Linked DNA regions of Sus scrofa. The protein of the gene in region 2 interacts with the protein of the main gene of each other region in a pairwise test. Links are inferred from orthologs where the notes say so. Each region holds a gene or a part of one and is shown on either strand. Other genes may lie near its edges.

The links.
Region 1: the proteins of LMO2 (region 2) and TAL2 interact in a two-hybrid assay, tested with the Homo sapiens proteins (2 studies listed by BioGRID and IntAct). The link is inferred for Sus scrofa from reciprocal best matches to the Homo sapiens genes LMO2 and TAL2.
Region 3: the proteins of LMO2 (region 2) and IFT43 interact in binary tests that used the Homo sapiens proteins (3 or more experiments, as listed by UniProt). The two-hybrid records come from large-scale screens. The link is inferred for Sus scrofa from reciprocal best matches to the Homo sapiens genes LMO2 and IFT43.

What each region holds. Positions count from the first base shown.
Region 1 is NC_010443.5:246,931,796-246,935,897, reverse strand, and holds the start of TAL2 (T-cell acute lymphocytic leukemia protein 2), read right to left. Parts: upstream 2,924-4,102; 5' UTR 2,558-2,923; coding exon 2,463-2,557; intron 1-2,462.
Region 2 is NC_010444.4:27,051,103-27,054,747, reverse strand, and holds part of LMO2 (rhombotin-2), read right to left. Parts: intron 320-3,645; coding exon 100-319; 3' UTR 1-99. UniProt on the Homo sapiens protein: Acts with TAL1/SCL to regulate red blood cell development. Also acts with LDB1 to maintain erythroid precursors in an immature state.
Region 3 is NC_010449.5:99,157,545-99,161,729, forward strand, and holds the start of IFT43 (intraflagellar transport protein 43 homolog), read left to right. Parts: upstream 1-1,297; 5' UTR 1,298-1,372; coding exon 1,373-1,426; exon of another isoform or gene 1,427-1,505; intron 1,506-2,149; exon of another isoform or gene 2,150-2,256; intron 2,257-4,185. UniProt on the Homo sapiens protein: As a component of IFT complex A (IFT-A), a complex required for retrograde ciliary transport and entry into cilia of G protein-coupled receptors (GPCRs), it is involved in ciliogenesis.

The DNA.
Region 1 (4,102 bases), on a different chromosome or scaffold from region 2:
CAACTCTCCAATTTTGCTCAGACCTAGGAGCCAGGACTATGGGAACAAAGTTACTTTTAAGCTTCTCTTGTCAAAAGAGGCTTTAGCTCATTCACCAGTCCCATGGGGGGTCTTTTTCAAGCTAGGAAGAAAAAGATTAGGCTGGATAAACTAACTGGTGTTCTCTTCCAAGAGGGCTCCATGCTATTGTGCCAGAAGCAGACAGAGGAAGTGGGGAGAAGAGATGGCAGGCTTCTGAAATGTAGCATGGCCATCCTAGGATGTGCTTAATAATTACTTGTTGATTTATGCTCAAGTGTGTCATTCTCCTTCTCCATAGGGGGAAATAGAAATCAGTGATTTAACAAGCTAGAAAAACTCAAAGTAGAAGTCACTGGAAAATTACTAAAGTACTTAGTAAATAAAGGAAAATGGCATTTAGTGTTTTTCCATTTGCAGGGACTGATTGCTGCTAATCTTGATTCAGAGTAATTTAAGGGCTTAAAAAACACTCCAGATGCCACAGAATCTGAGAACTTCTGACAGCTGTTGAAACAGGGTGAAGCTTTTTGTCCCAGGTCACACATCCCTGCGTGTCAGAACTTGGGTCCCAAGCCTGAGTATTTATGCATCTATGTCACCACTGACTCCTGCTGAGTCGGGGTCCATAACCTTTTTTGTGCCATGGACCTTTTTGCAGTCTAGGGAAGCCTGGGGAGGATATTGTCTCAGAACAATGATTTCAGATTCATAAAGGAAAAAGTCTTTGGTTCCCTTCTCAGAGTATAAATTTTAAATGCATGAATTAAAATAGAAACATAAAAAACAATTACACTTAATAGGTATTAAAATAATTCTAAATGCAATACAGTAATACCTGTGCTTCACTTTTAACACATTAAATAATTAGAATTGTTACCATGATTTTTAAGTAGTGATATGTAAGTGATTTTTCAGACCTGTAACATCTGTAATCTGAGTTGAAAGTTTCTATGATTTCTTTTGATGACAAAGTCATCAGCTTTGCTAGTTGCCACTATAGTTTATTAGTCACATTCATAAATATAGGAAATGCTAAATTTAGATTAAAGGTTAATAGACACAAAGATAATTTTTTCCCATCCGGATATATAGAACCCCTGAATTCTCTCCACACACCCCCACTGGGTGGGTGTCATGGTCCCCAGGTTAAGAATGTCTGGGCAGAAGGACTGTCATGGTAAACTGAAGAGGAATATAGCTGTGCACAGACTCTATACTGTCCCCATGGAAGGTAGCAGGTTACTGCAGAAGAGGACAACAGCTGTGCCCCCAGGGAAGGTAACCAACGCCCCAGATAGGAGCTGCTCCTTTTTTCTGTGGGTGTTTTCTGGACACAGAGCCCAGGTTAACTAGAAAGGTTACAGCACAGAAGTACAGCTAACATTCCTATGGCAGCCTGACCCAGGAACTCAGATTTACACTGCTCTTTTGTCATAAGATTTTAAATTTCTCCTACTGACATTTGGTCCTATGTATTTGTCTCTTCTGTCTTTTTTTTTTTTTTTTTTTTTTTTTTTTTAAGTAAGTGAAAATACCATCCAGAAAGAGGGCGGTGAAAGGTGGTTTATACAATTGGGTTAGAGGAAAGTGCCTAACCTCCAATACTAGGCACAGCTTTGCCTTTAGAAATTATTATAGAAGTAACACAGGCTCACTAAGGAAAAAAAAAAAAATCAAGCAGTACACAAATGATAAAGCAAAAAATAAAAGCCCCCAGCTCCATCCCTCTACCTGTTCAATGTCATTCCTAAGCAGTAGCCTTTTCATTGGGGGAGTGTGTGTATCCTTTATGTAAAAATATGTATCCTGGGAGTTCCCATTGTGCCTCTGCAAAAATGAACCCGACTAGTATCCATGAGGACACAGGTTCATCCCTGGTCCCACTCAGTGAATTAAGCAGAGAGCTGTGATGTATAGGTCCCAAACGCGGAACTTCCATATGCTGCACTTGTGGCCCTAAAAAGAAAGAAAATAAAATCTTTAAAAATCACGATACATACTATTATGCAATTACTCTTCTCACTAGACAATTCTACATGTTGATATTTTAATAAGTACATTTACTATGACTGTGGGTCTTTGAATGGGCACATGGCGCACTGGGAATGCCACCTGATCCAAAATGCCCTCAAACCTCAGCACCTCACCGCCCACCCAGCTCAACTGCCCTTGACCGCTTCACTTCCCGGTTTATCCCTTTTTCTAAGTTTTGCTCCCCCTGGCCGGCAGTGCCCGCCTAATGACTTACAAGTTCGGGCGTCCAGGTAAGCATCTCGGCTAAAGACACCTGAGGGGTTCTGGGAGTTCTCACCGAGACGCAGAAGCTGCCTAAACGTCCCTCGGAGATGCCCTAGGGGGTCGCACATCAAGGCTCAGCAGCCCCGACAACACGCGCCACTGCCACTGCCCCTGCCCCGCGGAAAGACCCCAGGTCTTCTCACCGAGTCTCTTTGGTGGCTGCCACCAAGTCACCTCCACACCCCTGCCCTCTGGGGCGAGTGCGGCTGGGACCTGTGCCGGAGACTCGTTGGCGCATAAACCCCGGTGGCGCCCACGTCCCTCTCGGAGTCCACGCACCTCCGTCGGAGCCGGGAGCCCGTGCAGTATTTGTCACCGTCACCGTTGCTGGCCGGGTAAGCCCTCGTCTGGGCGCCTCGCCTCTGTTGAGCCTTTATAGGACCCCGCCCTTTGTCTCCAGGCCGTTCACGCCCAGGACTCTGCAGGTCCCTCCCCACCCCTGCGCCCTAGCTTCTCTGGACCAGCCTCCCTGCGCCCTAGAAACCAAGCAGAGGCGGAAGGAGACCCTGCTTTGTTTAAGGCGTTGAAAGGGGAGGGGGTTCTGCCACCCACTCGGACCACAGCGAGGCTGGCAGAGGCTGGCCGAGGATGGCCAGCGGTTTACCAGCTCTCTTCTCCAATGTCTATAAACCTCAGAAAGTCTGTGCCCTGTGGCCAGCTCATCAGATGTCAGTCGTTTCAGCCTCAGTGAGTCTCCAACTGCAGCTCCAGAACCACTTGCTTCAGAATCATGGGTGAGGGGAGGTGGATTTCAACACCCGCGACCCTGACCCACCAGATCAGGTTTTCAGAGAATGGCATCCAAAATCTGTCTTTTTGATAAGTATCCCGAGGAGATTAAGATGTACAGAGAAGTTAAATCATCACTGCACTGGACAGATTCCCGGATTTATCATCTCAGTTTCCAGAGCACCCGGGTGGGCGCGGGGCGGGGCGGGGGAGGGGGGGACTTGGTATTTCAGGGTGGCTTCATTGGCCTTCCTGCTTCTGCACTTTCCTCTTTCTGCCTATTCTCCAACATCACCCAGAATGAGCCTAGGAAAACCCAAGCAAATCAGGTTCCTGCCACTTCTCACTCAAAACCTTTCCCTGTCTCCCCATTTCATTCAGACTTAAGCTGAAGTAATTGCAGTGCCTCCCAGATACCATCTACCTGACTTTTTTGTTCCTTCTCTCCCTGGGGGACACTCAGCTCTAGTCACTCTGACCCCTGCTATTTCAGAAACACACCAGGCACCCTCCTGCCTCAGGGCCTTTGCACTGTTTCCACTGCCTGAAACACTCTTCCCCCAAGTTAGCCTCACAGTTCTCTCCCTCACCTCCTTTCATTCATTCAGCAATTATTATTGAGTGCCCACTCTGGGCCAATTGAGTACCCACTCTGGGCCAGTGCCTCTTGTAGGCACTAGGGATACAACTTTACAATAAAAGAAATTTTTCTGCCTTATGGAATTGGCATTTTTTAGGTCTTTGCTCACATGTCACCTTCTCAAACAGGATTCTCTGAATCTCTGATACCTAAAATTGCACCTTCACACCCAGGACTCTTCATCTTTCTGCCCTGCTTTGTTCTTCTCCTTGGCACTCACTGCATTTAGTAATATTTTTCTTATTTATCTTGTTTGTTTCCTCTCCAACCCCAGTGAACAGGTGTTCTTCAAATGTAGGTTGATAAATGAATGGATAAGCAATAAACTTCTACATATCACATTCTCTGAAGGACCCAGCTAGGGTCTGGCACAATAAATTCACAAATGCATTAAAGCTTAGGGGATAAGAGCAA
Region 2 (3,645 bases):
CCCCAAATGCCTACGAGTGAAGACCCGCCACCCCCCCACCTCCCGCCCCGAGACAGTCACTTCGGTGAAACGCCTCCCCGGAGCTCCCGGGGCCTCTGCCTATATCATGCCATTGATCTTAGTCCACTCGTAGATGTCCTGCTCGCACACTATGTCCGAGTTGATGAGGAGGTATCTGTCGCCCACACAGAAGTGCTTCTGACAGGCGGCACACTTGAAACATTCCAGGTGATACACTTTGTCTTTCACCCGCATGGTCATCTCGTAGGCACGGATCCGCTTGTCACAGGATGCGCACAGACCGTCTTGGCCAAAAAGCCTGGGGGAGGAAAAGAGAGAAAAAGCTCAAAAGAGACTGGCAGAGATGAGAGGGCTTGGGGATGGGTTCCGTGATGCTGGCTGGATTTCCAAGACGTCGGGAAGCAAGGAAGAGCTGGGTCCAGACAGATAACCGACTCCTATGTACTTTCCTGGAAGGAAGAGGGTCCTCTGGGGTGAAATGGTATCTGCGGCATTTGTGTTGGCCATAACACCTCATCCCTCTCATGAGCTCTCTCCCTGCCTGCAACAACCACTCTCCTCGCCTTTAGGCTGCCCCAGGCCGCCTCTGTGGAAAAGACTCTCAGCTGAAGCTTTGTAAGAGGGTAGGCATGGCTGGCGTGCCTCCTCCCAGGGGAACTCTCAGGTTTTTTTTGTTTTGGGGGGCTTTTTGCTTTTTTAGGGCCACACCCATGGAAGTTCCCAGGCTAGGGGTTGAATTGGAGCTGCAGCTGCCAGCCTACACCACAGCCGCAGCAATGTGGGATCCGAGCTGTGTCTACGCCATCTGCACCACAGCAATGCTGGATCCTTACCCCACGGAGCAGGGCCAGGGATTGAACCCACATCCTCATGGATACTAGCTGGGTTCGTTCCTGCTGAGCCGCAATGGAACTCCAAAACTCTCAGTTCAGAAGAAGAGCAGGAGGAAACCCCTGGGGGCCCCTTTGAGAGGAAACTGACCAGGAATGCGATGAATTGGGCATCTTTCTGAAGCTCCCAAGATCTATCATATCAACAGCCGCTAATTCCACCCAAGGGGAGGACTGGTTTTGAATGACTCCAAAGGCACAAAGGCCACATGATTGTTCGCTGGGACCCCAGCTCCTGGGAGACAGAGGCAGTTTGAGAGAAAACACGTGGTATAGCTAAGCATGCCTCAGATCTGGAGGACAAGCGACGTCTCTCCATGCCCAATGCAAGATCTTAATTGAAGATCCTTGCTGCCCCGACAGCACGAGTCTCTGGAGAGGCTTCTGACATTGAAACTAAGACCCTCCGAAGCCTCAGTTGGTCAATTACTTCAAGGAATATTCAGTGTCAAGGTGGGAAATGCAATATGGCGGAGCCCAGTGCAGTGGGTCTCAGTGTGGTCCGGGGACCAGCCGCATTTGCACTCGCTGGGAGCTTGTGAGAAATGCACACTCGGGCCCTCCTGATGGAGGTACTCTGCGGGCGATCCTGAGCACTTCCAGGTGATTCGAATGCAGGCTGAAGTTTGCAAATCAGCCCACAGGCATGGGAATCAGCAGACTCAGACTCAGTCCAGGACTCGCCCTGAGTACCTGAGTGACCCTGGTGAGACCTCCGATTCCTCTGAGCTTATGAAACGGCAGCGCTCATAGCGCCTGCCTCACCCAGCTGTTAGAAGGATACAATGCAGCCTGTCAAACCACCAACAGCCAAGGTCAAGGGCGAAGCCAACTCTGGCTGTGTTTTAACACACCTTGGGGGTATTCCCAAAGGGGCCAGTCTTGCTGCCGGAAGTCATTTCTGCACGTGCCTGATCACATGGCATTTCAGGGGGTCCTTCCCACCCTTTGGGGGCAGTGTTAGGTAAATGCTTGTTCTTATTAACTTCAAATAGAGAATCAACCGGCACATTCTGAGTGGCCGTAGGGGAGATAAGGGCAGCTGACAAATTTTGAAATGTGTGGGCTACACTAATGGGATCAAGATGTGGTCTGTGAGCAGAGCGCTCCCTGTTACAGCCAGGCCAGCTAGCTTCTCTCCGAATCCCGCTTTCCCTTTGAAGATCCCTTTGAGTGTTTTCGAGGCACCACCTGGGAGCAAACTCATTACTGGGGGAGAACATTTTATCCCGAGGCAGCAAATGGAGGAGCCGTGGGGAGCTGCCACCTTGGCGGTCAGGAAGTAGAAAGGCAGTTCTGGTTTCCTGATCGTTCAGTAAGTTGAGTTGGGGCCGAGCGAGAATCGATGACTCACAAAACCGTGTGCGTGGAATGACGCCAGGCGCCTGGGTGTGTGACCCTTATGGGAGGAGAGCGTTTATTAAAGGGAAGTCGGGGGTAAATTACAACCCACGTCAGGCAGCTAATGAAGGGACGGACGAAGGACTGATGTCTGGGAGACAAGTTCAAGTCCCAGCATCACCTCTAATTAGCCAGGTGCCAATGACATCCTCTGCCCTGGCTCCTGTGTCTTAAGCTGTAGAGCAAGAGACCAGGAAGAGAAGGTCTCTGCAGCCCCTTCCAGCTCTGGTTTGCTGAGACTTTGCCACTCATGAAAATAAGCCAGGACTTGACATCTAAATTGAGTGTTGACCTCTGGCACCAAAATCGGTGCCTTGGGCTGGATGGCCCAGGAGCGGACCTGAAGCCTCATATGACTGAGGATGTGTAATCAGGGGAAATGGGTAGGAGGCAGGAAGCCAGGCAGAAGGGGTGGAAGGCAAGCAAAGTTGCGATCTGGGGCCAAGGGCCTCAGAGGGGAGCTTCGACCTGACCGCGTGGGAACTCTAGGGTGGAAGCTGTGTCTCCAGGCGGCCCTGGCTCCAGGCAAGATTGCAGGACTTTGGTCTCTGGCAGTGTCAGTCATGGGGCAAGGTCAGCTGGGCATCTGCAGGGGTAGTGGGTACACCTCTGGCTTTTAACAGGTGCAGGTGCTGGCAGCTGAAGGTAAACCATGGCCGGGGGTGGCGGGGGCGGGTGCACGACACACACAGATTGGTAAAAAGGAATCTGTGGGGATCTGGGCTGAGCTTTAATATTAGCAACTACTGTTAGGTTCCCAACAAAACCACCTAATAGCCCGGGGTTTATTCCAGTTCTGCACGGGAGTCTCATGAATATTTGAGGCTAAAAGCCTGAAAAAGACTGTAACAGGCAAGTCAGCCACTGGAAATCCTCAGGGGAAGAAGTTCTCCTTGGAGGGCAGGGGAGAAGGATGAACCCCATCACAGGACCCCTTCAACTTGTCTTTTGCCCAGACATACCAAAAATGTTCAGAATGCAAGCAAACAAGTCCATGGCTAAAGGGCCATCTCTGCAGCAAGAAACGATTTTTCTCCTCTGTCAAGAGGTGTCATGTCTTAAGCTTCCTCCTGCCCATTTTAATAACAATAATATAAATATGAAAGGATGGCTGGAAACGCCTGCACTAACACAGAGTTAATTAACATGTTGTCTAGGAATGTAGCAGGGAGAAGAATTATTTCATGTCACCAAGACACAAGTTAATTAACATTGGGCTCTCCCAGACTATTTTTTTTTTCCTCTCCTTTTTAAAAATGCAAAAGATTAACAAGCCCAGGCAGCACAGGGCTTATTCGTGAATGTTATATAAAACCACAGAGATAGGGAGAAG
Region 3 (4,185 bases), on a different chromosome or scaffold from region 2:
GACCCCTACCTTACAATAACTCGTGACAGCCTATCTACTTATCAGACCCTTACTCGGAAGTAACTCGTGATTCCTTAAGGACAAACATTTCCTTTCTCGTAGTAGCAGAGAACAGCCTCATGACTTTTGCCTTTTGTAAGCCCCTGACTCTTTCTTTTCCCTGGAACACTCTTGATTTTACCAGAATCTGTCTCCCAACAATTCTTAAGATAGCCCTCCAATAAAGCTCTTTGTTCTTTGCAGCCCTGATACTGATTATTGTTTAATAGAGCTCACAAGAAATGGAAAAATTCAGGAGTTCCCATGGTGGCACAGCAGGTTAAGGATCCATTGCTGTCTCCGCACGGCCCAGGTCACTCCTGAGGCTCGGTTCCATCCCTGGCCGGCATGGTGGGTTAAGGATCCAGCATTGCTGAAGCTGTGGGGTAGGTTGCAAATTTCAGGGCGATAAGCCCATCTGGGGGTCCAAGCTGGGGTTCCCCAATACCAAGGCCTGGTCAGTAATATTGACCTGGGGGTCTTACAGGGTGAGCTAATGAAGGCTCAACTGACTTTTCTCATTAGGCTGGGAGTTTGAGGGCCATCTTCCTCTGCTGGCCTGGGAGAATGGGTGGCACCCAGGAACACGTGCTAGAGGAAAGTTCTTTAGTAAAATCTGGTGGAAGAAAGGCACTTGGCTCTACTGTTTAACACTCAGGTGATTTTCCTCAAGGCGCCGCCCTGCACCTGAATATTTTTACTTGTTGAATAGAGATACTGCCCTTGATCACCTCAAAGGGTGCTGGAGGGATTATTTGTAGTTTTGAAAATTATGAATACTCAGGTATTGGGTGTGTTGGTTCAGCCTCTCTGTAAACTTCAGGCAGAGATTACATATATCGCACTTTTCATTATAAACCATTTATTAGCACCTGACCCTCTGTGTGCCTGTTTTCTCATCTACCCAGTGGAGACAATACACCTTATCTTGCTTCCCACACAAAGGTGTTATGCCCTTCACATGAGTTAGCAACTGTGACGATCCTCTGTACATTGCAAAGAGCTGCACAAATGGAAGGAATTGGGGTAATCTCTACTGCTAGTAGTAGTGCTTGGCCCTTAACTTATGTATTTGGAACAGATGTAGGCAGTTTCTAAGGACTAAAAGTTTTCACTGTACCACAGGAGCACCCTTAGCAGAATTTAAGATCTGGAGATTTCTTCCAGAAGTCAAACAAAAAAGGTTTAGAAAGATTTGGTTTAAACTGGAGGTTAGCATATCCAAGAACAATGCGGCGGGCCCTTTAAGTAGGGGGATGGAAGGGCGGAGCCGTCGTCAGGGACGCGAGTAGGCCGCTGGGTTTCCAGGAAGTGACGCCAAGCGGCCGTGGAGATGGAGGACGTGCTGGACCTTGGCGAGGAGCGGCGTCGCGGCTCGGCCTTCTCCGTGAGGACCGACTCGGGGGCTTGGGGCCAGCAATTGGCGGGTGGGCAGGAATGACCCCGCCGGCCCCGGCTTCCCTGAGGTGCCTCGGCCCAGCCTGTCCCGGGAGGCGGGAGCTGGCGGGCCCTGAGTCTTGCGGCGGTGGGGTGGGTGAGGCCGGGGAGGAGGTGGCCTCCCTCGTCCCGCCCCTGGGGCAGCAGCTCCTCCGCTGCTGGGCTAGGATTTGCTTTCTTTAAAATCTTCAAAAAGTGGAAAACAGATTCCGCCTCTGCCGGCCTCTGGGACCGGTGGGACATTTCCCAGGTTCTCTCCGCTCCCTGGAGGTCCAGACGCCAACTCCCATAGAATGGGGAGATCTGAGGGTGACGGACTGGAGGGGCCCTGGTCAGGGTCGCACTTGCATTCCTCCTCGAGCTTTACCCTTTAGACTTGTCATGCCAGAGGTTTTTGTGAAAACCGTACGATTTTATTCAGGGAAGGAAAGAAGGCAGGTAGACAGAAGGCAGGTAGACAGGGAGGGCCTTTCTTGCCACTAATTCCCTTGGGGCGGTAGGGGGGCATTACCTCAGTTTTTATAGTTAAGGAAATCAAGAAGCAGATTTATAACGTGGGGGAAAGTCTAGGTGCTGGGGGTGGGGGTGGAGCCCAGAGGTCAGAGGGAGTATAAAGCTGTTGCTTGGGTTAAAAGAAGTTAACCTCCTGGAACCTCAATTTCCTTATCTCTAGAATGGAGATGCTGATACCGACTTTAAGGAGTTGCGGGAAAGATGAAATGAGATGTGTGTGGAAAGCATTTAATACAGTGGCTGGCATGTGCTGAGATATTAGAAGAGGTTAGCTGCTATTGATTTACTCAAGGTTATATGTACATAACAGCTATATTCAAGACCCAAGTTCAGTGTGTGTGTATGTGTATGTGTGTTTTAACTCGTCACAGCCCCATCAAGCCTTTTTACCTTTAAAATTATTGAAGATCGCAGTCACTAACAGATTGGCCCACGGGGAGTTCCCGTCGTGGCTCAGTGGTTAATGAATCCGACTAGGAACCATGAAGTTTCGGGTTGGGGATCCGGGGTTGCAGTGGCTCTGGCGTAGGCCGGCAGCTACAGCTCCGATTCGACCCCAAGCCTGGGAACCTCCATATGCCGCGGGAGTGGCCCAAGTAACGGGAAAAAAAAAAAAAAAAAAAAGATTGGCTCACGGGCAGGTCTTTAGTTTTGCTGTGGAGTCTCTATGAGTTCTGAAGGGCCCCATCTGATGTCCTCTAAGTTACTAGAGGAGAGAGATGAGGAACAGGAGCAAATTGCTCTAGGGCGAAGCGGATTGCTTGACTGATCAAGGAGAATATTAGGTCATCAGACCTTTCGGATCCGTGCACTTTTTTAGTACCTGGGGGTTATAAATGTTCTCATTCATTCATTCTTTCAACAGATAGTTATTGAGCCCCATCTGTGTATCCAGCATTGATTGTCTTTAGGTGCTGAAGATACAAGAGTGACAAAACTTAAGTCCCTGCCCTTATGGGGCTCATGTTCCAGTGAGAGGACAGGCAGTAAACAGACTCTACTTTGAAATATATAAAACCAGAGAGTAGTTTTTCTCAGTCATTCCAGTGGATTTATACAGGGTCTTTGGAATTTTTAAAAACCTTAGACTGTGTGACAGTTATTGGAGAAACCATCTATAAACAGCATTGAGAGGCAAGATCCTTGACTTTTTGTTGGAGCACAGTCACTGCATGTTGTATGCCAGGATCACATACCCAATGTTATGGTAAATGGAAAAGGGCAGCCATAGACAACCCCACAGACAAAGTGGGATTGTCTACCTTGGGAAGAAAATGAGCTGCTTATTGTCAGAAAGGCTGTTTCTATCATCCCTGAAACCAAAATGATTACTTAGAATTTGACATGTAAACATTACATAAGGGTGTTTATGCAGCTCTCAATGTATTGGTGCAGTCAGTTCTTAGAACATCTTAAAACTGAAATTCCAGCAGGGTGTAGAGGAAAGAACTCAGGGTTAGAAGGCAGATGATTCTGCTCTTGGATTTATCTGTTACTTAGTTGCTTTCCTGGATCTCAGTTTCCTCATTTGTAAAAGGCCTCAGTCTCAGTCTCTCTTATTGTGAAGTCCAATGAGATCCAAAAGTGCTTACATTAATGCTGTTTTTTTTTTAAAGCAAAAAATGAGAAATATAAACATTTCAACACCCACTAGTCTGCCTCAATACAGTTTTGTGTATACGCTTGGAGGCCTTTGAGACAAAGCCTGCACCCCAGGAGAGCTTTGGGAAACACCTGCAAAGGGTTCATTTCATGACTCAGAATTTGGCATGTTCTGATTTCCAAAGCTGATGTCTCAAAATTCTTGTCAGTACTTTTTCTTTAATGTCTGTAAGTGCAAATCCAATTAGTGCACACGTCAAAGCAACTGCTATCTGTATTTCTCCGGTTTCAGTTCCCAGAGAATTGCTGCCCCCTCCCCAAAGCCTTTTTGATAACAATTTTCATGCCGAGCTGCAGCTTTGAGGGTAAGCCTTCCTCAACTCCCGCATAGGAAGATGGGGGCCTTGACCGTACTCTTCCCGAGCTGTGGCATGAGGTCGGTGCCCCTTCTAGGGGAGTTTCTAGCTGCTTTTCATGGGCAGGAAAGGTCTGTGGCTGTCAACAGAAAACACGGTGGTCCCCCATGGATTTCCTGTTTTACCATCTAGAACGGACCTCGGGTGCTTTGCTGTAAGGATTGGGGCATTTTCTGAG